Linked DNA regions of Zea mays. The protein of the gene in region 1 binds, or shares a complex with, the protein of each later gene. Links are inferred from orthologs where the notes say so. Each region holds a gene or a part of one and is shown in the gene's direction. Other genes may lie near its edges. The genes, in order: rps11; 30S ribosomal protein S6, chloroplastic-like; 30S ribosomal protein S13, chloroplastic-like; 30S ribosomal protein S31, chloroplastic-like.

Region 1 (7,193 bases):
TGTACTAAATATAGTAAAGAAATCAAAATAATCTTTAGATCAATCTAAGATTTCGATTCCCAGTAAAAAAAAAAGAAATATAATAGAAAAATATGGGACAAAAAATAAATCCACTCGGTTTCAGACTTGGTACAACCCAAAATCACCATTCCTTTTGGTTCGCACAACCAAAAAATTATTCTGAAGGTCTACAGGAAGATAAAAAAATACGGAATTGTATCAAGAACTATATACAAAAGAATAGGAAAAAAGGCTCGAATAGAAAAATGGAATCAGACTCAAGTTCTGAAGTAATTACACATATAGAAATTCAAAAAGAAATCGATACAATCCACGTCATAATCCATATTGGATTCCCCAACTTATTAAAGAAAAAGGGAGCAATCGAAGAATTAGAGAAAGATCTCCAAAAGGAAGTTAATTCTGTAAACCAGAGACTTAATATTGCTATCGAAAAGGTTAAAGAACCTTATAGACAACCTAATATTCTTGCGGAATATATAGCTTTCCAATTAAAAAATAGAGTTTCATTCCGAAAAGCAATGAAAAAAGCTATTGAATTAACTAAAAAAGCGGATATAAAGGGAATAAAAATCCAAATTGCGGGTCGTCTAGCAGGAAAAGAAATTGCACGTGCCGAATGCATCAAAAAGGGTAGACTACCCCTCCAAACAATTCGCGCTAAAATTGATTATTGCTGCTATCCAATTCGAACTATCTATGGAGTATTAGGTGTCAAAATTTGGATATTCGTAGAAGAAGAATAACTAACCATGTCTTCCCATTCCGCCAGTGATAGAATAAAAAAGACAAAACCTTGTTTTTCCAAAAATCCCTAAAAAAAAGAAGAAGTATCCCTCTTTCTATAAGATTTAATGAAAATTAAGAAATCTTTTAATATAATTGCTATGCTTAGTGTGTGACTGTTAGTTTTTTCTTTAGGGTCAAAAATGGAAAAAAACTTAGTAATGATAGAAAATTAACTAATAACCAACCTATTGCTTCGTATTGTCGAGATCCTAACTAAGAAACAGTCACTATGTGAATAAATACATCTATCAAAAATGAGTAGATCTATCATATAGTTGTAGCAACTGCATTTTTTTCTCTACAAAAGAAACCAGATTCTAGGCTATGAAGCAAAACTAAAGGGTAGTGGATAAAAGGAGGGATGATAGATAGAAGGAAGAAGAATAAGAAAGATATAGGATTCCCATATGTATGGTCTATGAATTCATCATAAAAAAAAGGCAATGTGATAAAGCATCAATATAATAAAATTCTCAAAAAAAAGAGAGAATTCATCGTAACTTGACTTTTGAAACAACAAATAAAAATATAAAGCAATAAATAAAGAGCAGCCGGGTTAATAAAACTGAGAAAATTGACTCGGAAAAAAAAATTGGAAGCTCCATTGCAGGATTCAAACCTAACCATTAAAGGAGAAGCTGTGGGAACGACAAAACCTATGACTACATAGGATTTATTGAAAGAATCCTAACACTTCATTGGTGGATGGCGGACAAACCACAAAATTGCTTTATTTGATAAGGTTCTAAATTAACAAATAAGACAGGAAAGAGTAAATATTCGCCCGCGAAATCCTTATTGGATTAGAATACTTTACCACGATTCAATAAGAATAAAAAAAAAGGAGATTCCAAAAAAGGAAGGATTACATTTTATATAAATATTGAATTTGGATATATTCTAGATCTTCTTTCTTGACTATATATTTAATTTTTCTTTTTTAAGTTTAAGAAAGTCAAAATCAAAAAAACCTAACTTTTTCTATTATATATTGATGTGTATCTATCTATAATATTTTTGAATATTATGGAATTAGAGAAATGACATTCGCACGCTTCTCATTTCATTCGCGAGGAGCTGGATGAGAAGAAACTCTCATGTCCAGTTTTGTAGTAGAGATGGAACTAAGAAGGAACCATCGACTATAACCCCAAAAGAACTAGATTTCGTAAACAACATAGAGGAAGAATGAAGGGAAAATCCTGCCGAGGCAATCATATTTGTTTTGGTAGATATGCTCTTCAAGTACTTGAACCCGCTTGGATCACCGCGAGACAGATAGAAGCAGGACGAAGAGCAATGACACGATATGCACGTCGTGGTGGAAAAATATGGGTGCGTATATTTCCCGACAAACCGGTTACAATAAGACCCACAGAAACACGTATGGGCTCGGGAAAGGGATCCCCCGAATATTGGGTAGCCGTTGTTAAACCAGGTCGAATACTTTATGAAATGAGCGGAGTATCCGAAACTGTAGCTAGAGCAGCTATCTCTATAGCTGCCAGTAAAATGCCCATACGAAGTCAATTTCTTCGATTAGAGATATAGAACCCCAAAAAGGAATATTGAAGATAAAAAACCCCTGGTTTTTCTTTCTGGAAAGACAATATTTCTTTCATCCTTTTGCATTGAAATAACAAATGGAAATCCAAATAATATGATTCAACCTCAGACCCTTTTAAATGTAGCAGATAACAGTGGAGCTCGAAAATTGATGTGTATTCGAGTCATAGGAGCCGCTGGTAATCAGCGATATGCTCGTATTGGTGATGTTATTATTGCTGTAATCAAAGACGCAGTGCCCCAAATGCCTCTAGAAAGATCCGAAGTAATTCGAGCTGTAATTGTACGTACACGTAAAGAATTCAAAGGCGACGACGGTATAATAATACGCTATGATGACAATGCAGCAGTTATCATTGATCAAAAAGGAAATCCAAAAGGAACTCGAGTTTTTGGCGCGGTTGCCGAAGAATTAAGAGAATTGAATTTGACTAAAATAGTTTCATTAGCTCCTGAAGTATTATAAATACTAGTAGACGAGATATAGATCAAAGAAAAAATTAGTAGATTTTGTCTCACGTATATGCTTTAAAATCCTAAATTTAAAGAAAAGGGAAAACATGTTGATTATAGAAAAATTAGGAGGAACCTAGAATTAGAGTCTTATGGGCAAGGACACTATTGCTGATTTACTAACCTCTATAAGAAACGCAGACATGAATAAAAAAGGAACTGTTCGAGTAGTATCCACAAATATTACCGAAAACATTGTTAAAATACTTCTACGAGAGGGTTTTATTGAAAGTGTTCGGAAACATCAGGAAAGTAACAGATATTTCTTGGTTTCAACTTTGCGACATCAAAGGAGAAAGACTAGAAAGGGAATATATAGAACTAGAACCTTTTTAAAGCGTATCAGCCGACCTGGCTTACGAATTTATGCCAACTATCAAGGAATTCCTAAGGTTTTGGGCGGAATGGGAATTGCTATTCTTTCTACTTCTCGAGGTATAATGACAGATCGAGAAGCTCGACTAAACAGAATTGGGGGAGAAGTTTTATGTTATATATGGTAATGGCCCCACCTATAGTACCCAAATTCTATCTCGAACTTCCTATTTTGAAAATAAAAATAGAAAAATAGGAGAAAAATATATGACAGAAAAAAAAAATAGTAGAGAAAAAAAAAACCCGAGAGAAGCAAAAGTCACTTTCGAAGGTTTAGTTACGGAAGCCCTACCCAACGGAATGTTCCGCGTTCGCCTAGAGAATGACACCATCATCCTGGGCTATATTTCAGGAAAGATCCGGTCTAGTTCTATACGAATACTGATGGGGGATAGGGTCAAAATTGAAATAAGTCGTTATGATTCCAGCAAAGGTCGTATAATTTATAGACTTCCCCATAAGGATTCGAAGCGTACCGAAGACTCGAAGGATACTGAAGATTTGAAGGATACCAAAGATTCAAAGGATTAGGTTTTTCTGGGGTAATAACTTCCAAGTTTCAAAATTTAAGTGAAGAGACTTATTTTTTCCAAAAGAATAGATTCATAGTTTAAGAAAGGAATACCCATATATGAAAATAAGAGCTTCCGTTCGTAAAATTTGTACAAAATGTCGACTGATTCGCAGGCGTGGGCGAATTAGAGTTATTTGTTCCAATCCGAAGCATAAACAAAGACAGGGGTAATCTTTCGAAAAAGAAGCTTTTCTTTCTAATAGCTTTTCTTTCTAATTAAAGTAAAAAGTACCCACGGAAATGCCCAAATTGCAAATAAAAAAAATGAAAGTAAAGGATATATTTTAACCTGAAACGGATATCTTTGTATCTTTTTTCTTTTTGTTATTTCTAACTCATATTTATGAGATAATAAAATATGACAAAAGCTATACCAAAAATAGGTTCACGTAAGAAAGTGCGTATTGGTTTGCGTAGGAATGCCCGTTTTAGTTTACGGAAGAGTGCACGTAGAATAACAAAAGGGATTATTCATGTTCAAGCTAGTTTCAACAATACCATTATAACCGTTACAGACCCACAAGGTCGGGTCGTTTTCTGGTCCTCCGCAGGTACTTGTGGATTCAAAAGCTCAAGAAAAGCATCACCCTATGCTGGTCAAAGAACAGCAGTAGATGCTATTCGTACAGTGGGTTTGCAACGAGCAGAAGTTATGGTAAAAGGTGCTGGTAGCGGAAGAGATGCCGCATTACGAGCCATTGCTAAAAGTGGTGTACGGTTAAGTTGTATACGCGATGTAACACCTATGCCGCATAATGGATGTCGACCTCCTAAAAAAAGACGTCTGTAAAAAAAAATGAAACCGCTTTCAAGAGAAATAAACGATTCAATGATCAAATAATATAGTCTGTTATGGTTCGAGAAGAGATAACAGGATCCACTCAAACACTAGAGTGGAAGTGTGTTGAATCAAGAGTAGATAGTAAACGTCTTTATTATGGTCGTTTCATTCTGTCTCCGCTTAGAAAAGGTCAAGCGGATACTGTCGGTATTGCCTTGCGAAGAGCTTTACTTGGAGAAATAGAAGGAACATGTATCACACGCGCCAAATTTGGGAACGTGCCACATGAATATTCCACAATAGTAGGTATTGAAGAATCCATACAAGAAATTTTACTAAATTTGAAAGAAATTGTATTGAGAAGTAATCTCTATGGAGTTAGAGACGCATCAATTTGCGTCAAAGGTCCTAGATACATAACCGCTCAAGATATAATCTTACCGCCTTCCGTAGAAATCGTTGATACGACACAACCTATAGCTAACTTGAGAGAACCCGTTGATTTCTGTATTGAGTTACAGATCAAGAGAGATCGCGCATATCATACGGAACTCAGAAAGAACTCTCAAGATGGAAGTTATCCTATAGATGCTGTATTCATGCCTGTTCGAAATGTGAATTATAGTATTTTTTCTTGTGGGAATGGAAATGAAAAACACGAGATACTTTTTTTAGAAATATGGACGAATGGAAGTTTAACTCCTAAAGAAGCGCTTTATGAAGCTTCTCGTAATTTGATTGATTTATTTCTTCCTTTTCTACACACAGAGGAAGAGGGCACTAGTTTCGAAGAAAATAAAAACAGGTTAACTCCACCCCTTTTAACCTTTCAAAAAAGATTCACTAATCTAAAGAAAAACAAAAAAGGAATTCCATTGAATTGTATTTTTATTGATCAATTAGAATTGCCTTCTAGAACGTATAATTGTCTCAAAAGGGCCAATATACATACACTATTGGACCTTTTGAGTAAGACTGAAGAAGATCTTATGCAAATTAATAGTTTTCGTATGGAAGATGGAAAACTGATATGGGACACTCTAGAGAAGCATCTCCCAATTGATTTACCTAAGAACAAGTTCTCGCTTTAAATCATTGCAATTTTTTCCTCTTCTTCTTTTTTGAGTTAGAATAAAAAGAAAAAAGAAAGCAATTTGGCATCTTTGGCATAATCTATATTTTCGCGAAATGGATCATAATAAAATAGATTTTAGGTATCTAGGGAAGATTCACTTGGAAGTAACTATTTCCTAGATACCCATGCAGGGGACTTCGCGGTGGAATGAATCAACTCGAAAAATCCCTAAACTAAAAAAGACCTAAAGTTAAGGATTTATCAATGGGTAATGTTGCTCCAATACCTAACCAAAGAGCTACTGCAGTACCGATTAAAAAAACGGTCGTAGCTACTGGGCGACGAAATGGATTTTGGAATTTATTGACATTCTCTAGAAAGGGTACTGTCAATAAGCCCGTTGGCACAGAAACCATTAAGAGAACGCCCAATAACTTATTGGGTACTGTACGGAGTATTTGAAATACGGGAAAGAAGTACCACTCGGGTAATATTTCCAAAGGAGTTGCAAACGGATCCGCCGGTTCACCAATCATTGACGGCTCTAGAACCGCTAAACCTACATTACACGCAATAGTACCTAGAATTACTACTGGAAAAATGTATAAAAGATCGTTGGGCCACGCGGGTTCCCCATAATAATTATGTCCCATCCCTTTAGCTAATTTTGCTCTTAATACAGGATCATTTAAGTCAGGTTTCTTTGTTATTGGGATAGGTGAATTCTTTAGGATCCATCCCCCAAAGGAACCGGACATGAGAATTTTTCATCATCCGGCTCGAGCAAGAATGAAAGAAATAAGACCGTGGAGGATCCACAATAGAATAGGGGTATATAATGACTCAATGACTCAAGGTAAGAAAAACTTTATCAAATTATCTTTTCCGAAGTTGCGCCTATAACTACTCATTGAAAAGAATCCTATTCTTATGCTTAAATGCTCAATATCCAAGTGGGCTTACAAATTTGATCATGATCAATTGCTTTGTGGATTGTCTCTTGATTAGTTGTTGTTTATCCCCTCGATATCGCAAGTTTCTTATGTCCAAACAAAGTATTTACTTGTTACTAATAAAAAATCAAAAAGTTTAGCCTGCGTTCTTCCTTAGATCCCTTCTTTTACTCCGATAGTATTGCGGATCAAAATCGATGCAAAGAAAATGAATGCATTTCCATACTATAATAAAAAGTAAGTGTAATAAAAATTGAATTGGATCATATCACATGACTTATTCCATTTATACTCTATAGGATCTTACGGAGCCTGTTCATGGATGACATGGTTGGTGGGGTATGATCATAGAAAATATTCTCCTCGAGTGAACCAGCCTATCCTTCCTAGATAGGGGACTTACGTGTTGATTGGATGCGGAGACACCTTTGGTCGTGAATTCTAATGTGGCAGATCCAATTCTCTATCTGCATGGCCAAATTAATAATTCAAGTCACACACTCCCATAATCCGCCTTATTTTCTTTCGTAAAATTCACTTCAACTA
Region 2 (7,990 bases), on another chromosome or scaffold:
CGTTCAGTTTGAGGTTTCCTGTGTTGTCCATCTGAATTCTTTCAAACTTTGCGGTTGGAACTGGATGAAGAATAAAATTCCAACCCGCCCTGGTTCTTTTGTGGGTCTGTTTGGAATAGATGCTGCCTGCCAATGATCCTGAAATAAGCTTTACTGAAAGGCTTTATCCATCCAGATTCCAGAAGCTCACGGCCTCGCGGGCTCAACCTCAAACCAAGAGTGTAATCCGCCTGTTGCATCACATCAACAAGTTAACACATTGGATGTCATTAGATTTGTATATGAACTGTAGGTCATTTTACCTCGCATATCTATCCAATAGAGGGGCATATGCTAGGCTCCATCCTTCTGTTGTCTAAACCAAAGGAAGCAGCACACAACAACTACAGCTAGGGATGTTGCTCGACGACGACTGCCAAAATCATTCTCCATGGTCTATCAGAAGGTAGCAAAATAGTTGTGTTAATAACATGGTCTTGCTCTTCAATTAGGTGCATTTTATGTTATTAGTACCACATGTTGTTGCATCGTGAGATGATCCTCCAGTGGTAAAATATGCCTGTTATGTGATCATTGACCAAGATATGTTGCTCAGAAAATGTTCCAACCAAATAGGCATAATCATGTGCAGAAGGAACATAGGTTAGTGTGCTCAAAATATCAGTAGCAAAGATAACAAGCAAGCAAGTGAATGACTGGATCTAGAGTATAACGGTACAAGAAGAGATACAATTATACAATAACCAACCAAGCAAGATGTCCTAAATAACTAAATAAGCATTACGACAAGCAAAAACACCATATTGAACACAAAACATACTGTAATACATGGGGATCTAGAGTATAAAAATACGGGAAACACGCAATAAAGCTTACAATCAGCGTAATGAGAGAATAGGGGAGGGGTATGCCTAACTATGGAGGTAGTCGGATCCTCCGAGAGTAGGCATTCAAGAGAAGAGAGGGAACGAAGGATCTACACAAGAACAGAAGTGAATCGAAGTCAGCATATTCCAAAAGGCATGAAATTGATAAAATTAGAGGAGAGGGATGTGCCAAATCACCGACACAGAGTCTAGTAGCAATAGCTACTTAAGTCGATGCACCAGTAAGGAGCACAAGTGAGGGGGACATGATGGATAGGAGAGGAGATAACAATGAGAAGAGGGTGTGGAGTGGTGAGGAGAGGCGCGAGCCACATCGTCGAGTGCGGGAGGGGAACCCTAGTGAGATGCATGGTTATATGCCCTGGTCGCGCGGGAGCTGAGTTAGGCCAGGCTTGGGAGCGCTCTCATTTTCGACCATTGTTCCCAAGCCTGGCTAGAGGGAGGGGTTGCACATGTTCAGCTGAAAGGGAAATGTGCCCTTGGGCCATTTCTAAGTATTTTGGTGATTGAGTGCCAACACAAGTGCTTAAATGTGAAGTTATGCTCATGGATGGACAAAGTGCAAATCAAGAGTAAAGGTATGTTTCTAAGCCTTAGTACATTGGTTTTGTGTACTAATATACTTGTCTAAGTGTTAGAAACAGAAAGAAGAAGAAAAGAAAAGATGTGGAAAAGGCTTGGCTGTGTACAGCCAAGACTCAGCTCAGTCTGGCACACCGGACTGTCCGGTGGTGCACCGGACAGTGTCCGGTGCGCCAGGCTGACTCGGCGTGAAGAGGTCGCTCTCGGGAATTCACCGACGGCGTACGGCTAAAATTCACCGGACTGTCCGGTGTGCACCGGACTGTCCGGTGAGCCAACGGTCGGCAGCGGAATCTGCGCGCGACACGTGGCCGGGCCAACGGTCGGAAGGGGGCACCGGACTGTCCGGTGTGCACCGGACATGTCCGGTGCGCCAACGGCTCCCAGATCCGCAACGGTCGGCTGCGCCATTTTAGGAAGGAGATCGGGCACCGGACAGTATCCGGTGTGCACCGGACTGTCCGGTGCACCCGACGACAGAAGGCAAGATTGGCCTTCCAGATTTGCTCTCAACGGCTCCTAGCTGCCTTGGGGCTATAAAAGGGACCCCTAGGCGCATGGAGGAGACATCCAAGCAACCTTAGAGCATTCTTGATCATCCACACTCAGTCTTTGCACATTCGTTTGTCATTCTCAGTGATTCGAGCTCCGTTCTAGTGAGAACTTTGAGATAGTCTTTTGAGCTCGATTCTTGACCGTGTGTTGCGCATCTTGCTGTGGATTTGTGTGTGTTGCTTCCCTCCCTTACTCTGTGCTTCTTTGTGAAATTCAATTGTAAGGGCGAGAGACTCCAAGTTGTGGAGATTCCTCACAAACGGGAAAAGATTAAAGTAAAGAAGAACACCGTGGTATTCAAGTTGATCATTGGATCACTTGAGAGGAGTTGAGTGCAACTCTCGTCCGTTGGGACGCCACAACGTGGAGTAGGCAAGTTTTGTACTTGGCCGAACCACGGGATAACCACCGTGTCATCTCTGTGATTGATTTCTTGTGGTTATTGTGTTTTGACTCCTCTCTAGCCACTTGGCAATTATTGTACTAACGATTAACCAAGTTTTTGTGGCTTAAGTTTTCAAGTTTCACAGGATCACCTATTCACCCCCCTCTAGGTGCTCTCATCAGCATAATCCAAAGATTGACCTAAACAACCAAACGGGGTGGGGTGGCCAGTCGGTCAAGGAGTGTGCATCACTAGTCTAGAAGCTCGCGCTGCCAGCCAACGAGGGCACACACTATTGACCTCACGGTCATGGTCCGACCAGCGATGGTGCGGGCACGAGTAGACAACGAGGGAGGGGCTCGCCATGGGAGGAGATGTCATGGTGAAGAAAGCGACGCTAGAAGAGAGAAGATGTGTGACGGGAGAAGAAGAGAGGTGGAAAAATTAGAAAGAATTGGACTGTAATCGATGGTAGTGGTCGATAACTTTTCTCAACTCTATCAAACTTATGTTGTTGGAGCTTCCATTGAGAAGCTTCACCAAGAGAGTGGATCTAGCCTTTAGATCCCCCATTTTGGTAAATATAAATTTAGTGGATCTAGATCGTTTGACAAAGTTTTTCAAAAATTTAAATTATTTTTAGTGAATCTCAAATAAACTCATACTGTTGTTTCATTTGATATGGCTCCTTTTAGAAGGGCTCTAGCTCCTTATTTTATTGTCAGTAGAGTACCTTCTATGAAGCTGAAGTTTTTGTAAGTAAAAAAATGGGCTATTTAAATTTGTACCCTTAGTTTTGCTTCATTCCTTATTTTTAACCTTGGTCGTGTTTTTTCTTAGTTTTGCCCTACTACTCTATAACACTAGAAGGACAAAACTAAGTAAAAAAACACGACTAAGGGTAAAAATGAGAACACCAGCAAAACTTGGAGCAAAAGCTTAAAAAATCCAAAAATAAAAGCCATATTTCAGCATCGTGTCTCTTTTATAAAAAATGACTTTGACTTTTTGAGCTCTACAAGGAGTTGTTTTCGGCTATTGGCCCCTTTAAGAAGTCGTGAGAAAGTAGAGTCGAAGTCCTGTCAAATTGACCTACAATAGAATGTCTTCAGACCTTCACACAAAGTTTTTCGGTGTTCAAATTCACTAGATCTTTTATCTTGGTCCTGTTTGTTTCGGATTCTAGCAGCTTCTGGCCACCAAAAGCTGCTGCGGATTGCCAAACGCTCAGCTTTTCAGCCAGCTTCTATAAAATTCGTTGGGACAAAAACCATCCAAAATCAATATAAACACATAATCGGTTAAGTCGTTGTAATAGTATGAATTCATCACTTTCTAGATCCTGAGTCCTATGAACAACTTTATTTTCCTCCACACGTAATCGTAATGATACTCAGATTCTCCCCACAGCCAGATTCTCCTTACAGCCAGATTTTCAGAAAAGCTGGTCAGAAAAAAACTGAACCAAACAGGCCCCTTATATCTCGTATACAGAGAAGATTAGGTCTACTCTATATTTAGTCAATTCAACTGTTCGAGATTTTTTTAAAAAAATATAGGTCCGCTGTTGATATTGTATTTTAGCTGCCTAAATCTTTGGACAGCAAACTTAGATAATCAATTAGTATAATTAAAAGAATAATTTATACTTTTTCTATGGGTAAATAAAGGAAAACATACATGCTGCGTATATGACAACAAAAGAATCATACACATAAAACATAGAAGAAATGCATAACTACATATAGTTGAAATACACACAAAGTTAACGTTGTAAACAATTTTGGTTTAACTGGCAACCCGGCCGTTTTTCCACCAATATGAAAATCCGTGCAAACTCCAAACAGGGCGTGGCGTCCTATCCTTATCTATCGAGTGGACGCGACGCCAACAGCGTCAGCGCCTCCTCCCGCTCTCCGGCTCCTGTCCTGCTCGCGCTCGTCGCCCCCCTGCCGCTCGGCTCCCCTTGGCCCCTCCAATGCCGCCACCCATGGCACTGCTGCCGCTCTCCTCCGCATCCGCGTCCGCCGCGCTGCCGCCCTTCCGCTCCTGCCCGCCCGCTGCGATGCTGCTTCGCCTCCCCTCCCCCGCCCCCTCCCATTTCGCCCGCCCCCGCGCGGTCTCCACTGGGTACGCGGCGTCCTTCTACGGCGGCTCGGCGATGTCCGCGGCCGGCGGCGCGGACGAGGAGGAGGAGGTCGGCTACGAGTCGGGGTTCGGCCCGGGGCTAGGGCTGGGCGGCGGCGGCCTCGGGATGTCGGCCGCGGAAGCCGCGCTGGCGCTGGAGGAGCGCGAGATGCCGCCCTGCCCACCCGGCCTCCGCCAGTACGAGACCATGGTCGTGCTCCGCCCCGACATGTCCGAGGAGGAGCGCCTCGCCTTCATCCAGCGCTACGAGGAGGTAATTTGCGTTTGCCTCCGCTCCGTTTGGCTGCCACTATAGCTAACTGGATGGATGGAGCAGCGTAACACGGGCACGGCTCGATCGGCTCACCTCTGCCTCTTGCATATCTCGCTACCATTTGCTGTTCCGATGGCAGAGAGAGCAGACAGATGATAATTTCTGGACAGGCTGGTATCATACTTGAGCAATGCGAGACGAATGTTAAAAGGGTTCCGAGTGTTTCGAATTTCATCCAATAAATATTAGGATTTCTAAACGTATAAAAGTGGATCCGCCATAGTTAATTGCCATCCTATCCTGAATTCACCATGTATGTTAGGCACTGTTTCTGTTAGAAACTCACTCTAGTCTAGAGCTAATCAGTTTGTTCACATTGAAGTCAGATGCTGCGGCGGTAATATATAGAGACAAGAAACCGTTTCGGATTAAAGACAGGTGAACAGCTTGAATATATAGCAGTAGAGGTTTGAACACCCCCTACCTAATAACTCAGCTAATTTGTGAGTTAACAATCAGTCCATTAGCTGGTTTAACCTAGCTAACAATTTGTTAGTTCCAAACGGGCCCTTAATCGCTGTTATCAGTCACATGCCATCTGCGTACCATTCCAATCCAGCTCAGCTTGGTGTTTTCCTGTGCTGCAGCTGCTCGTCGCCGGCGGCGCCATGTACGTGGAGGTCTTCAACCGCGGTGTCATCCCGCTGGCATACAGCATCAGGAAGAGGAACAGCCGCACCGGGCTGCCGTCCACCTACTACGACGGCATCTACCTCCTCATCACCTACTTCACCAAGCCGGAGTCCATGGACGCCCTGCAGCTTAAGCTCAACGCCGACGACGACGTCATCCGCTCCACCAGCTTCAAGGTCCGCCAGCGGAAGGCCGTCTAGTTAGACGGGTTGCCTCCTCCGCCTTCAGGCCCTGAACACTGTTTTGTTCACATACCATACTACAAGAAATCTGCTGTACAAGAATCCACCTTTGCCATGATTGTTGAGTTTTTTTTTTTTGAATATGTTTCTTGTCTTGTGGTTCTCGAAAATGGACGTCCGGCCATCGTTCGCCAGAGAAACACCGCGCCTCCTAAAACCATCATGTTTCATCAGGTACCAAAAATAAAGGTCCGTAGCTAGGTAGCGTCGAGCCTGAGCGCGCTCCGGGGATGGAGAACAGTCCAAACCCATCGTAAATCTGCAACAGTACAAGCATATACAGTGCAATTTGTGGAAGAGATTCGTACAAGTACAACTTTCATTTGATTTCAGAGGCGTTTAAATACTCCACACTTCATTCCCATTTAGCGTCAAGTGCGTTGGTGTTTCCAAATATTCATTTGATGAAAGAGATGTTCTCGGCATATAACTAAACAGTACGACACTAGGACATGACATGATGCAGAACGCAGATTGGCTTTCGGATTTCTCGAGCAGGAACAGGAAACTTCGGAAGATAAGACACAAAGCACAACACAAACCAGAACAGACGCCAGCAATCCAAAATCTGTCAGCCATGGAGTAACATTTAGTATCTCTCATGGCGCCTGAAATCATAAACAAATACCTGGGTCAGTCAACGATGTGAGGCACAAGGGTTTCAAATAAAAAAGTGTGCCTATTATTCAGCAATACCTGCTGCGCTCCCTGGAGCGTGAACGCTCTCTTCTCCTTGAGTCATATCCGCGGGAGCGGTCATAATCCCTATCCCGGTCGCGGTCATGGCGACGGTCCCTATCGTGACGCCTATCGCGTTCCCTATCATAATCTCTTCTTCCATCTCGAGACTCAACCCTGTCTCTCCTTTCTGAATCTCTATCCCTGGACGGCGGGCCGTTTCGATCCTTGCTCTGCTCTCTAGATCTAAAAGAGCCAAATGGGCATGCTTTCAGATAAGATGACCATGATGCTGATTGCTGACTAAAACAATGAGGATGCGGAATACAGAATACCATACCGCCTATCATCTTCAGTTTTGCCTGTCCTCCTTTTGTTTCTCTGCTCCTGCAAGATGCCACAGTGTATTTTGTTTATTGACAGTACAGATAATGATATTTTGGCATATTTAAAATCAGAGACAACGTTCCAAAAGATAGGGCGGGCGATACTTTACAGGCAAGGTTGCTTCAGCAAAATGTAACTTGCAAACTTATGGAGGAGGTAGCAGATAGAAAACAGAACAAGTTGTCACTTACAGCAAAATGTTGGCAAAAGAAGTGTGCTTTCAGGATAACTTAACCAGTATTATTTGTCACCTGGTCTACATAATATGGCTCAGGCAGTAAAAAGGCAACCTCCAGCTTCTGCCCAACAATCGATACTAAGCAGACACATGAGCAGTTTGTCACAATTAAGTAAACATGATTTTTTTCATACCATGGTCCGCACGCTCCTATGCTTACATTTGTCAACAGACAGTGACTGTTGTAGCCATAGGTATGAAGATCATCGCATGAGATTCCAATCACGCGACATGGACTAATTCCTGTAATGACTATCGTAATAACCATAGTGCCCGGCAATGTGAGAATCAAATAATATATAGAGGGAAGGTGAGAACCTTGAGGCTCTTGAGATAAGAAAACTCACAGATGCCAAAAGGCCCAAAACAGAGTAACTCTTTAAAGCAGAAAACGGTACATTACACTCAGCACCTGATAAATTGCACCTTTATAGATTTAGATTGAGGATAAGTGAATAAACCAAGATTATCGTATTCTGATGATGGCCAAACAGAATGTAAATTTTGTTTTATTTGTCTTTAAGGTTTGGAAACCTTGGAAGTATTAATCTGTTTCATAAATCTCCAGTGTTTAACTTCTACTTTGGGCATAGGCATGCAGGAATTTACCTGAAGTTCTTTCTGTTTGTCACGAATCAGCATGTAGCCTAGATGCAGTTTCCCTCCAAAATGGTCAGCAAGACGTCGATCACTGTTGAGATATTTTCAGCTTAGGATCAACAACAACAAAGCCTTTTATCCTAATCAAGTTGGGGTAGGCTAGGGATAAAAGCCCGATGGAACCCACAAGTCAAGGTTGATTTATCAAGGTGCAATTTTTAAACCCAATAAAAACCCAATATTTTCAGCTTAGGATAAATATTCAATTTGACAGCTTCAGATATTTTTGGGAATGCAAAGAGCTAGAAGCATTACTTGTCATATACACTCAGAAATGCTCCA
Region 3 (8,345 bases), on another chromosome or scaffold:
GTTGGTTGTGGCCTGAAAAACTGAGATATTTCCAATCAGAGGTATCTTCTGCTATGCCTGTTGGTTAATATTTTTTTTTGAGATCCTGCAAGCACCGCAAAGTACAGATATTTATTTATTTCATAAAAATGGGGACATACACTGTGCGATCACTCAATTGGTACAAGCGTGCAATCAAACTATTTAAAGCATTCAATCTAGACCCAACGGTTTCATATGAAAGGTGTTAAATGTAAAATAGGTACTAGGTTTCAGCTGGAAGGGGTTAAATGTAAAATAGCAGGCACCGTTGGATTTTGATTGGATAAATCAGATCACTTGATTGCACGCTTGCACCAATATGGCAATATGATTGATGCACATGATATGTTACCCATGAAAATGACCTATAGTCATGTATGATTATGTAACAAATACTATTGTGTTTGATGCAGATTGCTAAGAGGAAAGAAAAGCTGCTGAATTATATGCTTTTTCTGAGAATAACTCCAACTTTGCCCAATACATTCATAAATATGGCGTCACCGATTGTTGACATACCTTTCCATATTTTCTTTGCTGCAACACTAGTTGGTCTTATTCCAGCATCTTATATTACTGTAAAGGTAATCTTCTTCTTTAACAACAGATTTGGTATGATTGTTTAACTCATTTTTAGATTATATTGAATCATTAATCTGAACCGAAGTCCATGTTGTATGTTAAGAAATCACTTGAAACATGGACTTGGGTGCTTAAACATCAAGAGTATCAAATATGCGTCATTGTTTAGTGTTCTAAATGTATGACATTATTCTTGTTTTGAAGTTTGATCAGTGAAGATGAAAGATAACATGTGTCATGAACTGCCTAAGCATGTCTTTGCTGATGGCTTCAAGCCTCTAACATATCCTTGAAGTTTTCTGTGTTTAGTACTTTAGTAGAAGATGGATGAGCAAACATCATCATGGGTGTCTGGGCCTGGGGACTGCTTACCTTTAACTGTTGTTAATTCCAATTAACCAGTAGGAACCTTGTTAGATCCGTACTGTCCATCCCCGTGCAACCTCTAAGACTATACTTTGTGAAGAGTTACCTTTTTTACCGCTAAAGGCTACTTCCTTGACCTAGAAACCACTTGAGCTGTGCGCTTCACTCACTTTATGCTTCCCTGTAACTGTAACTCCAGTGCTCTTCTTTTACCAACCTTCTCAGTGTATTGCATTGAAATAACGAATCTTACCTTTGTTTGGAGCCTGACGGTCCTGTTCCTTGATTATACTTTTTTGAGCATTTTCAGTCGTTTTTTTGCTAATAATTTTCGTGTCATTGTCATGCAGGCTGGTAGAGCCCTAGGCGATCTGAAATCAGTTAGAGAGTTGTATGACTTCAAGACATTAGTGGTTCTGTTCCTTATTGGATCTGTTGTTGTCGTTCCAACAATCCTGAAAAGGAAGAGAACATACGAATGATGTCTTAGAGCATCTACATACTTTCTTTAGATGTTCAAAATGTATTAGGATTTTTTTACCTTTTGTTTTCTTGATATCGTATACATTTTCAATTCTATACGTAGAGATGTAAAATCGAATCGAATGCTTTCTAATACTAGATGATGCCATCATTGTATCTGCATGTCTCCTGTTCATTATTGACCTGTATCTGTGCATACTTATTGTCTGAATCCTGTGTAAGAAGTTCTTGAATCTTGACATAGGGGGGGGGGGGGGGGGGGGGCTGTCTTGCCCTTCGTATCGCCCTCTGCATTGCACATTTGCACTTTATATCAATATCAAAATACTGTGTTTTAAGAAATGGGCGCAACAGCCGGGCATCGCTGCATGGAGCTGTCGTGCCCTCGGGGTGTCTTATAAAATGCTAGGGGACATCGGGTAAGAACTTGTTCGGTTACAAGAGATGAAATCGTACTATAGATTTAATTCGCTTCTAGATTTGAAATCTGATTATAGATTTAATCCGCTTCTAGATTGAGTGAATCTATACCTTGCACTCAATCTAATCCTATGATGGGATTAAATCCATGTATCACTTAAAGCTAATTATTCTTTTGATCCATAGATTTTAATATAAATATAAATTTGTGTAATATCTTTATAGATTTGTTCCATACCTAACGAGCTATATATAGAATCTGTCTTTCATTGTTTAAAAAATTCTCAAACCCTTAGGTTATAATCTATTATACGTTTAACCGTATAAAAGAATTTGAGTAGACTTGAATTATTTTAGGCCATGAAATGTGACATAGATTTAATTTCAATCCATACTAATCAAAAGCTAGATTGATGTAAACGAATAAGGCCTAGTAGGTCTAATAGGAGTAACACAAAAATCAAGCGGTATCATCCGGCTCGTGTAGAGGGAGCGGGAAGCTAGCTCCGTTTTAATCAACCGGCTCCTAAACCAAACACAAAAACCAAACATTATCATCCTAAGGCCTTGTTTGTTTTCCTTTTAGAATATATAAGTTGGATTATGCTGAAATAGTAGGAGAGTAAAATATTACCTTGATCACAAAAAAGCTAAAATAAGCCACCCAACACTAGCTTATTTTAGCTTATTTATAGTCTCAAAGTGATATTTTACTCTCTTACCCTTCCACCATAATCCAACTTATATAATCTAGAAGGGAAACAAATACATTTTAAGATACCGCTGCGACTCACTCGACATCAATGTCTTGGTAATTCGATGAAAGTATGAAACCATACTGTGTCTTTTGCATACGTTTCTCCTTACGCTTGAATCTATTGTGCGAGGTGCTTTCAATCTTTTGACACTTTTACATACACTTTGATGTGTCACTGACATCTTAATTATTAACTAACATATAGCCCATGCTAACACTATGATCCTATAGAGGAGAGAGATCGACGACGACGGCACGAGGGGAGGAGTTGATACAGCGACGGCGGGGATGCGGAGGGAGTGGAAGGCTGAGGGCTGAGGGCCGCGAGGTTGTGAGGAGGGAGGGAGGGAGGGGTGATAGATGATCTAGATAATATTGTCCATTGGATTTGAGTAAGGGAGAGTAGAGATGGCAATGGGTAAATACCCACCGGGTATTACTACCCCATACCCATACTCACGACACAAAAATAACTCCATCGGGTCACCCATATACACTGGCGGGTATGGATTTACCCTCATACCCTTACTCATGTGGGTATGGGTCACCCATCGGGTCACCCGTACCCACAAAAGCTAAACATCTATCAAAATATTATATGATAAAAATGTCAAGTATATCCATCTAAATACCATTACAAAATTTCTAGTATCATTTAACCATCCATTCAACACACCAAAGATAATTGGATAAAGTAGTAACACTAGGATAATACTACATAGCACATTACATGGTCATTAAATTGTCGTTAAGCCTTCTATGACATTATGGCCTAAAAGGTTGTTAAATAGTAAAAAAGATGGATGACTAAAGTCAAAGTTCATACTTGGGCTAAGTTTATATTGGGTATTTTATACCCACGGGTTAACGGGTATGGGTGAAGGCGGAACGTTCTAATACCCGTTTACCCATTGGGTGAAGATTTTTGCCCAATAACAGACCCACGGGTAGAATATTTAGCCACATACATACCCTAATGGAGTAAATACCCATCGGGTATCGGGTCGCGGGTACCCATTGCCATCTCTAAGGGAGAGAGAGTTATCCAGCAATATGAACTATGGATTTTGATGGTGTGTTAAGTCTAGATATAATTTGTTTGGAATATTTAGGGCTAGTTTGGAAACTTAAATCACCTCTGAGGTTCTTAGGGATTGAGGGGAATCCTCGGGAATCAAGGAGAAGATTTAAGTTTCTAAACTAGCCCTTAGGGCTAGTCAATAGAGGTTATGTACTTATGTGTGTATATGATTTGCCTGGTGGGTTTTGTAAATTTTAAACTGATGCATTATATATATACTCATCTTAAATAATATTCCCTCTGTACCAAAATAAAATTCGTTGTAGACTAATGCTGGATTCATCAAAGATCTGAAGGGTTTACTTTATATATGTGTTGTTTTAGTTCTCAGTGTTTATGTCTATATTTAAATGAATAAAGATAAATCTAGACACTTTTAAAATACATACATTAAATATTGTATGAATATAAGATAAATTTTAATTTAGAAGAGAGGAAATACTATTTTAGAACGAACGAGTAGAAAAAAGTTATATTTTCTATTGGGCCAACGAGTCCAAAACACACATAGGGAAAGGCCACTAGGTCATCGAAGGTTGCCTACGCATACGCAACCTTATCATCATCCGCCCTTGGGTTTTCTATCCGATAGACCGGGGACGCACAGGCCTCTCGCCCTCCGCGCGGCTCCACAGGAGAGCAAAAATGGCGACCCTCTCCATGGTCTCCGTCCCCATCGCACCCTCCTCCTTGTCCCTTTCCACCCGGGGCCGCAGCTCCTCCGCATCCTTCCCCGCTAAGGTTAGTGCCGCCTTCTGCTATACCCCTATACCCCCCTGCGTCCAGGGAGCTTGTCTGATTGGGGTGTCTTGTTTTTCTAACCCTGTACGGCCTTGTTGGAATGGGGTGTAAATTAGTTTTTTAGTTTCACTCTAATCTATATCAATACATATTGATTGTGCTGAATACGAGAGTATCCAAAAACAAGGCCTACTTGGGATGGTCGTGTCAGGAGCGTTGGAAGGATGGTCTTCTGTGAACTGCTAATTTTCAATACATTGGTAGGAAATGGCGCGTGTTGGTTCATGCATATGAATTTTCTAGCGCATTGTCAGTAATGCTAGTGTTTCATGGTACAGCAGTATGACTGATTCTAGTAGCAAAGAAAAGGATGTTTCTTTAGACTTTTGATGTGGATCTGAAATTCTGAACCTGATTATAGGAGCTGTTGTTTATTATCGCTGTTGCATTGTGCGCACAGCCTGAATACGACACAAACATGAACTTCGATACATCATTAATTTATCCCCATCTGAATGACCCTTCATACCCAGGCTCATGTTGGTGGTTTATTTTGCGGTTTTTGATTGTGCTGTATGTTGGGTGGCCTGACAGAAGGGAGGAATCGGTCACGGTGGCTTGCGGATCGAGTGCATCCGTATTGGTGGTGTTGAGATTCCAAACCACAAGAGGGTGGAGTACTCGCTGCAGTACATACATGGCATTGGACGCTCACGCTCACGCCAGATCCTCCTGGACCTCAATTTCGATAACAAGATCACCAAGGACCTCTCCGAGGAGGAGGTCATCACCCTCCGTAAGGAGGTTGGCAAGTACATGATTGAGGGAGACCTTGTAACGTCCCTGATCCCTTTGTCGATTATTCGCTGCAGTTATTTGATTCAGTAGTTCATGATGATTAACGACTTGTATGGTTACCATAGTTACTTAGTTAACATATCAATGATTCCTTGAAAGCTTTGAAGTTCATTCTGCAGGTCTGCGTATTTAATTTCACTTCCTTAGTCATAGATGATTCCTGACTGTCCTAACTGTTTAGTTTTATATCGATGTTGGACTCCAAGGGAGTGAAAACGCTGAGAGCTGGCACACTGCTGTTTGGTATGCTTTACAGAAACGTTTCAACCGTGTGGCGATTGAGAGGCTGAAGGAGATTAGGTGCTACAAGGGCATCCGGCACAAGCTTGGACTCCCAGTTCGTGGCCAGAGGACAAAGAACAACTGCCGGACACTTAAGGGAAAGAGGGCTTCAGTTGCCAAGAAGAAGTCACCCGCCTCCCAGGATGAATAAATCGTATTGCCATGTATTGAAGTTCTCTCTCTCTCTCTCTCTCTCTCTCTCTCTCTCTCTCTGTGTGTGTGTGTGTGTGTGTGTGTGTGTGTAGCGCTACTACTGCTGGGTGTTTTGTTTCGAGCTTTTATGCTGCCATTGACAAATCATGGGGTAGCCATCAGCTGCTGCAGATTTTGTAGCAATGACATACTAGCTCATATGGGTCGGTTCTATAAATGAAGATCAAATTCTTGTTTACATCCATTTGTATTCCTCTGTCCCAACCTATGCTCGATGCAAGGAGTCCAGACTGCTCCTGACGAATTACTATTTACCAGATCCAGTGTTCTGGGGATTATTCACCTGCCACTGGTATACCTGTTTTCATCCCTGCACGAGATGATCATGTGGCGAAGAGTTATGATTCGAGATCTCTCCCCTTAACAAATGTAGTTGAAAAAACAAGTTTTGGCTACCCGTCGATGGTTATGTTTTTTTTCTTGATAAGGACGATGGTTAAATTGTGTTTGGTTTCAAATAAAGATGATTTGAATCACTTGATTGAAGCCATTAAGGTTTCCTGGCATTCATCAGCCCCCAACTTGCAGAGCACGGATGACGGATGACTGTGAATTTGTGATCCCGTGGTGTGCTATTTGCCGAAGCTTGCACCGGTGCACGGACACCACCACCTGCTCCCCCATCCGGCGGCACCCGGGCCGCCGCGCCCGCGCGCTCTATCCACCACTCAAATAAACGCGATATGCTCTGCCTTGCTGGCCTGCTATTGAAAATCACACGACTTCCACCGCAATCGCACGCAAAAATCCCGCTCGAGCTTCCACCGTCTCCCTCCGCTTCCCCGTGCGGCGGTGCCGGGTCGCGCCGTGCCATGGCGCCCGCCTTCTCGGTCTCGTGCGCGCCCGGATCCTCGCGCCCGCTGGCCGCCAGCCCCGGCCCCAGCGTCGTCGTCGTCGCCTCCTCCCAACTTCCCGCGTCGTCGCGGAGCAGCGAACGCAGGAGAGCACCAGGCCTCGCGCTCGCCGCGGCCCCGGGTGTCGGCGGTAGGGATGGCGGTGGCAGGTGGAGAGCAGGCATCTCGTCCTTCCCCTTCCTGCCGCCGTTCTTCACAGGGAACAAGGGGGAGAAGGACGCTGAGAAGGCGATGAGGCTCAAGGAGGAGCTCCTCGACGCCATTGCACCGCTGGACCGTGGCGCCGAGGCCACGCCCGAGGACAAGGAGCGCGTCGAGCAGGTGAGGACGAAGAAACTAGTAGCTACGAGGGACGCACCGTGCATTTGGTAATTGGTTGATGGCAGAGACTCACGTGTATTTTTTTTTCTTTTTTTGCTTCAGATTGTTCAGCAACTGGAGGCGGTGAACCAGGTGAAGGAGCCGCTCAAGTCCGATCTCCTAAACGGCAAATGGGAGCTTCTCTATACCACCTCCACAAGTATACTGCAGCCACAGGTTCATTTCCTTTTTGCCTCACCAATGTACAGGTTCTGAAGTTCTGAAAAGTAAGTTCTTTTTTTTATAGGTTCTAAGAGCATCTCTAACAATGTTACCATGTAAAAATGTCCTAAAAATTTAAAATAAATATATTTATAGAATTTAGGGCATCAACAAAAAAAATCAAGCTCCAACGGTAAAGCTCCAAATCAAGTGATTAGCATAAATATGTTAATCTACTATGTTCGTTTGGAATGGAAATGAAAGTTTTATAAAGTGTCCATTCGTTTAGATCTAGACATGAGACATCACAATAACATACAATATATTTGTGGCACTTCAGGAGGTGACCTATATTTTTTGACATTTTTTTATAAAATAAGGTATTATTGGAGCAGTTTTTTTTAAGCTTGATCTCTATTGTTTAATTTAGGACGAAAGAGCCTCTAACAGAGTTAGTTAGGTGGCCTGAGTAACACTCCTCAGGTTCTGGGATCGACTCCCCATAGAAGCGAATTTTAGGTTGTGGTTAAACAAATCCCATCGTCTGTCCCACGCCAAAGCACGGGTGTAAGGCTCGGTCCCGGTCGCGGTCGTTTCTCACATGAGCTACGGTGTCGCTGCGAATGGGTGGGGCAGAGGTTCGGGGATTTTCTCGATCTGAGTGAGAAGGTCTTTTTAATATAATATCCGGGGTTGTCTTATCCCCGCAGATCGAGTTTTTATAGTCTAATTTAGGGCACCGGGATAAGTGGAGATGCTTTAATAAGCTTAAAGGTGAATACATGCATCAGCACTGTAGAAATTCTTAAGATTGTGTGCTTTATTGTTTGATAGTGGTAAATTGGCAACAAGTGATAATCTTCACGTATGTAGAATTTATGCAATTTGAATTTAAATTCGAGGAAGAAAAGGACTTTCGGTTCATAGTTTATATTTTTTTCGGCCTTCCTGGCATGCTGCTGAAGTAGAAAATAGTTATAGTTCTTTTTACAGGAATGACAAATTCTACTCACTTTCTACTGCAGAGGCCAAAGTATCTGAGGCCGTTTGGGAAGATTTACCAATCAATCAACGCCGACAATTTGAGAGCCCAAAACATGGAAACTTGGCCCTACTTTAATCAGGTAATTTTTGCTAGAACTTGTTGCGGTGTACTTTTGGCTTT
Region 4 (8,687 bases), on another chromosome or scaffold:
GAAAAGCTGTAGAGTAGGGAAAAGTTTGCCCTTTCGTTTTCCGTCCCCGATTGTATTCGGCTCGTGTTCTATGCGTTTACTGATGAATATAGGTAAAATCCCCTCTCTCTTCTCCAGGGCGCATGCTATACACAGGGCGTATGGGGGTGCCTGCGTGCAGATGAGGCTGTCCTACAGCTCCATGGCTCCAATCTTTCTCAACCTTATCCAATGGATGGACTGCAGCTGCTCCCTGTCATACACGCTCCCTAGCTACCTTGGCCTGCTCGAGGTTCTCGTCTACAAGGTACCGACGAATAGCACTTGCCGAGAGAGTTTGCTGAATCCACGACGAACTGACTGGTATCTCCTGAGGCTTTGAATGTTGACACGGTCTTGGTGGTTGAACACGCAGGTTTATGTCGATGAAGATGCCTCCATATCCACCATAGAAAGGAGGGCGAGCCTGAAGGAATTCTACAGTATGCTTACTATCCACCATAGAAACTAGTGATTAAGAAGCTTTTTTTTTCTGTTCAAGATTTTTTTTTGTTGATGCTGCTGCTGCTGCTGCAGCAGTGGTTTAATATAGTTTTGGGACCCCATGGAATGCAGCTATCATATACCCTTTCTTGCAACAACTGGAGGACAACTTGATGGACAAGGACTGCAAGGACAAAGGGTGGTCTGCTGCTGCCGCCGCCGGCGGCGGCGGCGGTCGGAAGCTTGTTGCCGAAGATGACAGGGAGGATGAGTGTGGCATTTGCCTGGAGACCTGCACCAAGATGGTCCTTCCGAATTGCAACCATGCCATGTGCATCAACTGTTACCGAGACTGGTATTGCTCCCTGTCGCTCTTGCTTATCCGTTTGGGGGGTGTATTATTTAAGCAACAATATATCTGACTGAGCCTGGATCGTTATCAGTTAGGGCCCCGATATCACACGCCACCATTAAAAAAATTCGCTAGCGGTTTGAACAGACTCAATGTGATGTCGATTTTAAAGATAAGGTTCGAGGAAACGAGTAAGCATTGACGCAGTCTTGAACTCTTGATAGCGCAAGGGTGGTTCAGTAATGATTTTCTTAAACTTCTCTGTGGGCTACTTCTACTCACTCATTGTTGGTGGGGAGTGGGGAGGGGGTGGTTGAACAACCCATCATAGTCCCAATGCACTTCTTTTTTCATGTTCACCATTTAAAGCCTCCATTTAGTCAAATTCAGATGCTACATTCTCCTGAACTGAATGTTTGTGTTTGTGTGTGTGTGTGTGGGGGGGGGGGGGGGGGGGGGGGAGGGGGGTTCCATTTTAATCTTCGCTCCCCTCATGTGCGGAGTTTCTTCTATTTGTTTTTTACCACCATGATGGCATGGGAGTCCATGTGTTTCTTGTTCTATATTTTTCAGCCTTCTGTTTGTCAAAACTAGGAGGGATTTTATGTGATCTAATGACCATGTGCCATGTCAGGAGATTCATTATCTTCATTCCTCCAGCAGTCCAGCTGAATGCCAGAGATTTGCTGGACAAAGTTTATGATACTTTGCGCCGTTGTTAAAAAGCCCCCACGTTTCGTCAACAATTAGCAATGGTCCATTAACGGAATCGAAAGCAGACAACTGGGAGTGCTGTTGTAGCTTTAATGAAGTCGTTAAACCATTATTCACCAGTGCCAGCCAACTGCTAAGTTACAGACAAAAAAATAATAAAGGGATAAAAGGGGAGACACTCGTTGACGTGGCATTCTAAATCCTAAATGATTGTATTCTCTTAGCTGGCGGATCATGCTTGTGTACCAAGGATGTCATCTGCAAGTCATTGTGTTTTGATACATGTCAGGTTGTTGGTTTCAATGATACTCATCAATCGGCTGCATCACTCCAAGTTTGGCGAAGTCAATAGTAGCTTTCACAATAATGTTGCTTGAGTTAGATTAGATTACGGATAAACTCAATGGGATTGGTTATTGCAGTAGATTCTTTTGGTGACCACTGGGCCCATCTATTGTTGTAGCGATAAGAGGGATCATCCCCAACTGTTTTAATGACCCCATCCTGTACTGTTCCAAGCAACACCAATGCTGAACGCTGTAACCTGGATGTTCCGTGACTGCAGGTACACAAGGTCCCAGTCATGCCCGTTCTGCCGCGGGAGCCTGAAGAGGGTCCGGTCCAGAGACCTGTGGGTGCTCACCGGCGACGACGACGTGATCGACACGGTGACGCTGGAGAAGGAGAACGTGAAGCACTTCCTCAGCTTCATCGACAGCCTGCCCCTGATCGTCCCCGACAACATGCTGCTGGTCTACTACGACTACCTAGTCTAGCAAGGCTCCTCCCCCCACCCCCCACTCTGAAGCTCTGGAAGAGGAAGGGGGTCTGGGAAGAAGACGCGGCGTACAAGCGACAAGGGTTACCCGCAGCCGACCATCCTCTGCGGATCGAGTTGGCAAAGCGAAGCCGTTGCCGACCAACAGACGATACTCTCGTGGGCATGCCACGCCGTTGCGCTGGCTTTATTGCATGGTGGCGTTGCTCGCTGTAATGGTTGTAAATAAAGAAGGAAAATGTCTCGGGTTTTATATATAATATACTAGCTTGACATTTCTCGTCTGGCGAATTGCCGGACTGTTCAGAATGAAGAAATCAGGGGGCCTCTACTTCTCTGCTCTATATATATCGTCTTCAATTCTCGTGGCCACCTGCACCATTCATAATCGTGAGCGTTGTTGAGGATTCATCCGTTCCTCTCCTTCTAGAGGTTCCAGAAGAAAGAAGACACATGTGGTCAGGTCATGCCATCGAACCGTCTCCACTCCGTGCAAGGCACTTTGCTTGAGGCGTTCTCCCACCACTACATTTTGGCCATCGGTTTTTTATTCATGATTGGGCACTGAAACTGAAACTCTGCTCGGTTGACATGAACCTGATAGCGACCGTTCAATCTGTGCTGTACAGTAGTGCACAGGTGAGTGCCTGACAGTGACCTTGGCAACTCCTCCATTCGGTATTTCGGTTGCTGAAATGAATTGGAATCGCTCCAGCCACACGCTCCCAAATACTACTAACTCCAGCTCCAGGACCGAAAATTGCCTGCACGGGGGTGGGGGACAGCTCGGGGCCGCTCCTTGACGCTCACCCTACCCTCAGGGTTTGTTGATGCACAAGCCATGAGCTCATCCAGTCCGGAAAGCTGGCACCTTGCACGGGTGGTGCCGTGAGGCCGGCCACCATGGGTTCAAGTGTCTGCCTCCACCAGTCCACCGCCGAAATCGAGATTCGAGAAGGACCAGAACCCTAACTCAGCAGGAGAAGCACGGGCCGGAGAACGACGCTGGAGCATCTAGGGTTTTGTTTTCTGTTAGCATGAATCAAAGCTAAGCTTTGGTCATCTTAATTATATTAATTATCAAAAAAAAGAAAGAGAAAGAAAAGGATCCAAGACCTGACCAGACTCGACGACGGCCTGGCTAGGTGTGTGCACCATACTTTACAGTAATGGCCGATAAGGTTACTTCTGGCCCAGCCCACACCAGCCCTGCAGCCCATCTTAGATGTGCGCTGTGGCTCCAACTGCGAGCCCTTTTATCCCTTATCCAACCTGATCCACCACACCACCATTCCCGAGCACACTAGTCTCTCTTCCCTGCGCTTGCTCGCTCCTTCTTGCCCCCATGGCGCTGCTCGCCGTCCAGGGCATGGCCATGTCCACCGCCGCCGCGGCCCTCCCATCTCACAACCACGGCGCCGTCTCATCCTACGTCTCCACCTCCTCCTACGCGCTCGCAGCCTCCGCCGCCTTCCCCCGCGCCCGGGCTGCGTTCGCCGTCGGCGCCGTCTTGTCGGCCACCGTCACTCCAGTTCTTGACGGTAATTAAACAGCTACCTCCTCACTCCCCTTGTTTTTGTCCGATGTAGGAGTAGTTTCTTTCTAACACATGTCACGAGCAATGGCTACTGTTTTCCACGCAATAAGGGAGAAAAGGCAATGACTACTATTACACTGACACTTGGGAAATTCGTTCCAATTCAATCGGGATTTTTCTTCTTTTTATGAAATAGTCAAGGGATTTATTACTGAAATGTACTCCCCAGAAGAGATGGAGGTTGTGATGCTGTTAGTCGATCTGGGTCAACTAGACTGACCAAGGAAAGCATCCAGTTTTTAACAAACTGGTTCATGAAAATTGTGGTGGTTCCAAATATACTAGCTTTTGTCCCAGTCTATAGAAGTTGGATTCTCAGTTTCTTAAAAACCAAGAAGCTAATCCCATCTAGCTAAAGGCAGTTTATAGAAATTGAGGTGGTTCTAAAAACTATTAACCAGTTTTTTTATAAATCACTTTATAGAAACTGAAGTTAGAAACTAGATTCTTAAAAACTAGGTTGCTTCCAAACATGGCCTAAGGGTCTGTTTGGAAGCACCTAGTTTTTTTTATAGAAATTGACGTGGTTCCAAACTAATTTATAGAAATTGGATTCCTAGTTTCTTAAAAAACCAAGAAGCTAGTCTTCTCTAGCTAAAATCAATTTATAAAAATTAAGGTGATTCTAAACACCATTAACCTTTTTTTTTATAAACTAGTTTCTAGAAACTGGATTCTTAAGAGCTTAAGTTGTTCCACACGAAAAAATTACGGTATCGAGGAGCAGGAGCATATATATGAACTGAAAACTACTACTGTAGTAGATTATTAAACCTTTACCGGTTGACTGATTCACTTCACACGGTGTCAGGAGTGAGTGCCAATCAAGGAAGCTGAATCTCTTGTTTATCACTACCGCCTATAGTTTTGGTCGTCTCTGTTGCCACTGGCCTCAGCTGTTGTAAACACTTGTTTCTGGTTTATTAATACAGAGAGTCAAAGATGGATGCTTCTCATGCGTGTACTTCAAAGAAGTTTTAGTTAATCATAATTTGAAATCAATTTCTGAAATTCTAGTGTCCATAGCCTGCTTCAGGATTTTATTCTCTGATTGTACTACGAACCCAACTGGGGTGCTGTCCCTTTTGGCCTCTGTTTATATCAATACTGATGATCCTGTGGACTGACAGACAGTTTTAAACTTTATCTGGTCTTGCTCAGTCTACTGCGGGAGAGGGGACAAGAAAACGAAAAGGGGCAAAAGGTTCAACCATTCATATGGCAATGTGAGTGCTCCAGCACAATTTACATCGCATTTTTGGTTTTTTCCCCCTGTTCTGTTTTATTTAGCTGTCTGATCATGTCTAGGCGAGGCCGCGCAACAAGAAGAAGGGAACTGGGCCTGCGCGGCTCTTTGCCCCTCCTGCTCCTCCAAGGAAGGATCAGTTCGATGATGGGGAGATCATTTCAATCGAGATTGACGAGGACATCCTGGAATAGGTTGTCCGAGTTCTGCCTTGCTTTATATTTGCCCTGAGCTTAATTGGCCTAGTTTGTACCAAATCAAATACTACATATTTTAAGTAATTATTTCCTCGCCTATAATTATCGATGGGTAGGCTGCCACACTTTCATTTGGCTAGTAATGTTCCTACTACTGACTGGGTTCTTTATTTTCCTTTCCAGCTGCTGAGTTCTTTACTCTCTTCAAAATGAAACTGTGTCGAAATAAGTTTTTTTTAGAAGATATTAAATGATTCATCTAGTGGTAACGGAGAGATTACACGTTTCATTTGTAAGGGGATTAATAAGATTTAATCTCTTTCAATCCTCTTCTAACCGAACAATCCAGCCCTAACAGGTAAAACAAAATCCAACTAGCGATTTATTCATACGTCAGCAATGTGCAAAGATCTTGCGTGCTGAACTAATGATCGTGTTGTGTTATTAATATGTGTTGCAATGATGTAAGTTTTGTTTCAAACTTCAGCTAACACTTTCAGGTCTCTTGCTATGCCAATCTCTCACGAGTGTCTCAGCAAAATATGATCCAAACAAGTTGCTGTCTCCAACTCAGCATATATGAATTTTTGCCGACTCCAACTCAGCATATAGAATTGTTTTTGCCGATACATAGCCAGAATTACAGCATAGTTGATAGAACAAAAAAAGGGAGCTGCTCGATTCTCCATCGGCAGGACCAACTTACACGAAATTTAACAGCAAAGAGACTAATTAACATACAAATATAAAGATAACCATCATCCCACATAGGAAGCATGTTTTTTGGATGTCCGAAAATAAGCTCTAACGAGCAAACCACACTCCGCAACCTAGCTCGTAGGCAGGAGTTCCAAAACGGGCACGCAAAGAGAAGCAACTCAGTACTTGTAGTCCTTGACGTGGAGGCTCTCGGTGTCGGCGGCAGCATCACCCTTGTAGGTGCCGAGGGTAGCCTCAGAGTTGGCCTTGCACCTGGCGAGGAAGGCAGCTCTAGCCTTCTCCAGGTTCTCCACCTTGCCAGCCCAGGCCTTGAGGGTGCTCGCCTGGAGGGCACGGCCGAAGGAGAAAGACAGGGACCACGGCTTCTTGGTGCTGAGCTTGTTCATGGCATTGAGGTTGCGGGTGGCCTCCTCCTCGCTCTGTCCACCAGAGAGGAAGACAACAGCAGGCACAGCAGCAGGGACGGTCCTCTGGAGGGTACGGACGGTGTACTCAGCAATCACCTCAGGGGTCACCTTCTTGGAGTCGGAGCCTGGAGTCACCATGTTGGGCTTCAGGAGGGTACCCTCCAGGAGGACATGGTGCTCGTTGAGCGCCTTGTAGCAGGCAGCAAGGACGGTCTCAGTGACGTAAGCGCAGCGATCAATGTCATGAGGGCCATCAACAAGGATCTCAGGCTCAACAATTGGCACCAGACCATTCTCCTGGCAGATGATGGCATAGCGAGCCAGACCCTGAGCGTTCAGGTCGATGGCAAGCTGTGATGGCTCATTAGGGCCAATCTTGAGAACAGCGCGCCACTTGGCAAAGCGGGCACCTGCCTCGTAGTACTTGGCGCAACGCTTGCCAAGGTCGTCATGGCCTTGGGTGGTGGTCTCCTTATCAGTGCCAACAACCTCAATGGTGCCCTTGTCAACCTTGATGCCAGGGAGGACGCCTCCCTCCTTGAGGACATCAACAAAAGGCTTGCCATCCTTGGTCTTCTGGTACAGGGTCTCCTCGAAGAGGATCACACCGCTGATGTACTGGAGAGCACCAGGGCAGCAGAATAGGAGCTCACGGAGGGCACGGCGGTTCTCCTCAACGTTCTCGACATTGATGCTGGAAAGGCGCTTGCCAATGGTGCCAGTGGACTCATCAGCAGCAAGGATACCCTTGCCGGGGGTGCCAATGTAGGCAGCATTCTTGATGAGCTCATCTGCAAAACAATATGCATAATAAGCATGGCTATCTACCAGGTACCAAGGCTATACTGAATAATACAAAATGACTTCCATTATCAAATCAGGAGGCCATCCTGAATAATACAAAATAAACTTTAATTATTAATTCAGGAAGTTTACTGTTTATTAACCAAAAACTGCTTTATATATAATTGTATCGGCATAAACATCATGACTAAAAGGAACCACAGATCAAGATTAGACTAGCACAAAGCTTTAAACGATTTACATATCTGACTGTCCTAGATGTATATGCGTCCAGCATCTATTCTAGTAGCCATGAAACAACAGGCAAATATATTTAGATTGAACAAACAGGCTATATATAATTTGAAACAACCATATAAAAACTAGTCCCTCTATTTTTGTATAAAACTTGCTAGCAGGAGAATATGTTTCATCAACTGGAAACAGGACGAGCAGATGCATACCACTATATGTATGTATAAAATCGAAGCAAAAAGTAAGCAAATCCCATATCCAAACCGATCAGAGGCATCACCTTTTGGCAACCACCAAGCCCCTGGCGGGCACACGACAGCACAATCCTGTACGGATCTAAAAAAAATCCACAAATCCTACAACTGAACGAGTCTCTCAGACCTATACGAATCGTTAGGCTAGGCCACCAGATTTCTGTCCACACATTCCATTTCAAACTCCGATCTGTGGACAGTACAGTCTACAAAGAGTGTTCTCCCGTCCATATAGCCGTTAGCCTTAGCATACCCATCAATCACAGCGAGATCTGAGCGCACCAACAACGAAACAACTAAACAGATCTACGATACACGAGACCTAAAGGCATCACAAGCAGATCAGCAACGAAGATCAGCAACGAACGAGGATACGATCACGACAGGGGGGGAGGAGGAGACGATGGGACGTACCCTTGTACTTTCCGCAGTAGGCCGACATGATCGATGCTCGACGCGACGGAGGCTACGAAGATCGCAGGCGAGGTGGTGTTGGGAGGAATGGTTAAGGCAGGCGGGGGATGCGGACGACGACGGGTGTATTTAAAGACGGTTTGGGCTTGGCCAAGGGGAAAGAAACCAGCGAAAGGGGGATCTGATCTGGGTGCGCCACCGGAGCCGGCGGATCGAACCTTGTGCGGCGCGCCCGGTTCGGCGCGGCGCTGCCCCCGGTTTTCATGTGCAGTCTCGTCGACGCGGCTTTCTGGTTTTTTGTTTTGGTTGGGCTGGGCGGCCGGTTCTCTTTCTCCACGAGGCATATCTATCTATTTTTTACCATATATTTTGGCTGCTATATACAACATAGTGTAAAGTGCATCGGTGACATCGAGTCTTTTTTGTTGTTAACTGGTTATTACAAAGGCGCTTTCCAGCTTCGAATTATTAGAATAACTATGGTTTCCGTACCTTCTATATGTGGGAT

Evidence for each region.
Region 2: rps11 (region 1) and 30S ribosomal protein S6, chloroplastic-like share a complex: the UniProt entries of both Arabidopsis thaliana proteins name them as parts of the 30S ribosomal subunit. The link is inferred for Zea mays from reciprocal best matches to the Arabidopsis thaliana genes rps11 and AT1G64510.
Region 3: rps11 (region 1) and 30S ribosomal protein S13, chloroplastic-like share a complex: the UniProt entries of both Arabidopsis thaliana proteins name them as parts of the 30S ribosomal subunit. The link is inferred for Zea mays from reciprocal best matches to the Arabidopsis thaliana genes rps11 and EMB3137.
Region 4: rps11 (region 1) and 30S ribosomal protein S31, chloroplastic-like share a complex: the UniProt entries of both Arabidopsis thaliana proteins name them as parts of the 30S ribosomal subunit. The link is inferred for Zea mays from reciprocal best matches to the Arabidopsis thaliana genes rps11 and PSRP4.

Annotation. Positions count from the first base shown.
Region 1 is NC_001666.2:74,687-81,879, reverse strand, and holds rps11 (ribosomal protein S11), read left to right. Parts: upstream 1-4,196; coding exon 4,197-4,628; downstream 4,629-7,193. Other genes in the region: rpl22 (ribosomal protein L22), read left to right, coding at 1-31; rps3 (ribosomal protein S3), read left to right, coding at 93-767; rpl16 (ribosomal protein L16), read left to right, coding at 909-917, 1,960-2,361; rpl14 (ribosomal protein L14), read left to right, coding at 2,471-2,842; rps8 (ribosomal protein S8), read left to right, coding at 2,982-3,392; infA (translation initiation factor 1), read left to right, coding at 3,472-3,795; rpl36 (ribosomal protein L36), read left to right, coding at 3,896-4,009; rpoA (RNA polymerase alpha subunit), read left to right, coding at 4,691-5,710; petD (cytochrome b6/f complex subunit IV), read right to left, coding at 5,928-6,402, 7,147-7,154.
Region 2 is NC_050096.1:303,984,765-303,992,754, forward strand, and holds 30S ribosomal protein S6, chloroplastic-like, read left to right. Parts: upstream 1-4,272; 5' UTR 4,273-4,387; coding exon 4,388-4,810; intron 4,811-5,457; coding exon 5,458-5,703; 3' UTR 5,704-5,827; downstream 5,828-7,990. UniProt on the Arabidopsis thaliana protein: Binds together with bS18 to 16S ribosomal RNA.
Region 3 is NC_050096.1:271,760,098-271,768,442, forward strand, and holds 30S ribosomal protein S13, chloroplastic-like, read left to right. Parts: upstream 1-4,238; 5' UTR 4,239-4,355; coding exon 4,356-4,451; intron 4,452-5,045; coding exon 5,046-5,285; intron 5,286-5,565; coding exon 5,566-5,742; 3' UTR 5,743-5,981; downstream 5,982-8,345. Other genes in the region: gtk16 protein, read left to right, coding at 1-41, 435-605, 1,320-1,451; uncharacterized protein LOC100281127, read left to right, coding at 6,488-6,979, 7,082-7,195, 8,206-8,304. UniProt on the Arabidopsis thaliana protein: Located at the top of the head of the 30S subunit, it contacts several helices of the 16S rRNA.
Region 4 is NC_050098.1:170,387,323-170,396,009, reverse strand, and holds 30S ribosomal protein S31, chloroplastic-like, read left to right. Parts: upstream 1-3,593; 5' UTR 3,594-3,651; coding exon 3,652-3,847; intron 3,848-5,064; coding exon 5,065-5,129; intron 5,130-5,211; coding exon 5,212-5,343; 3' UTR 5,344-5,556; downstream 5,557-8,687. Other genes in the region: putative RING zinc finger domain superfamily protein, read left to right, coding at 118-286, 395-461, 595-817, 2,094-2,304; fructose-bisphosphate aldolase, cytoplasmic isozyme, read right to left, coding at 6,225-7,264, 8,180-8,207.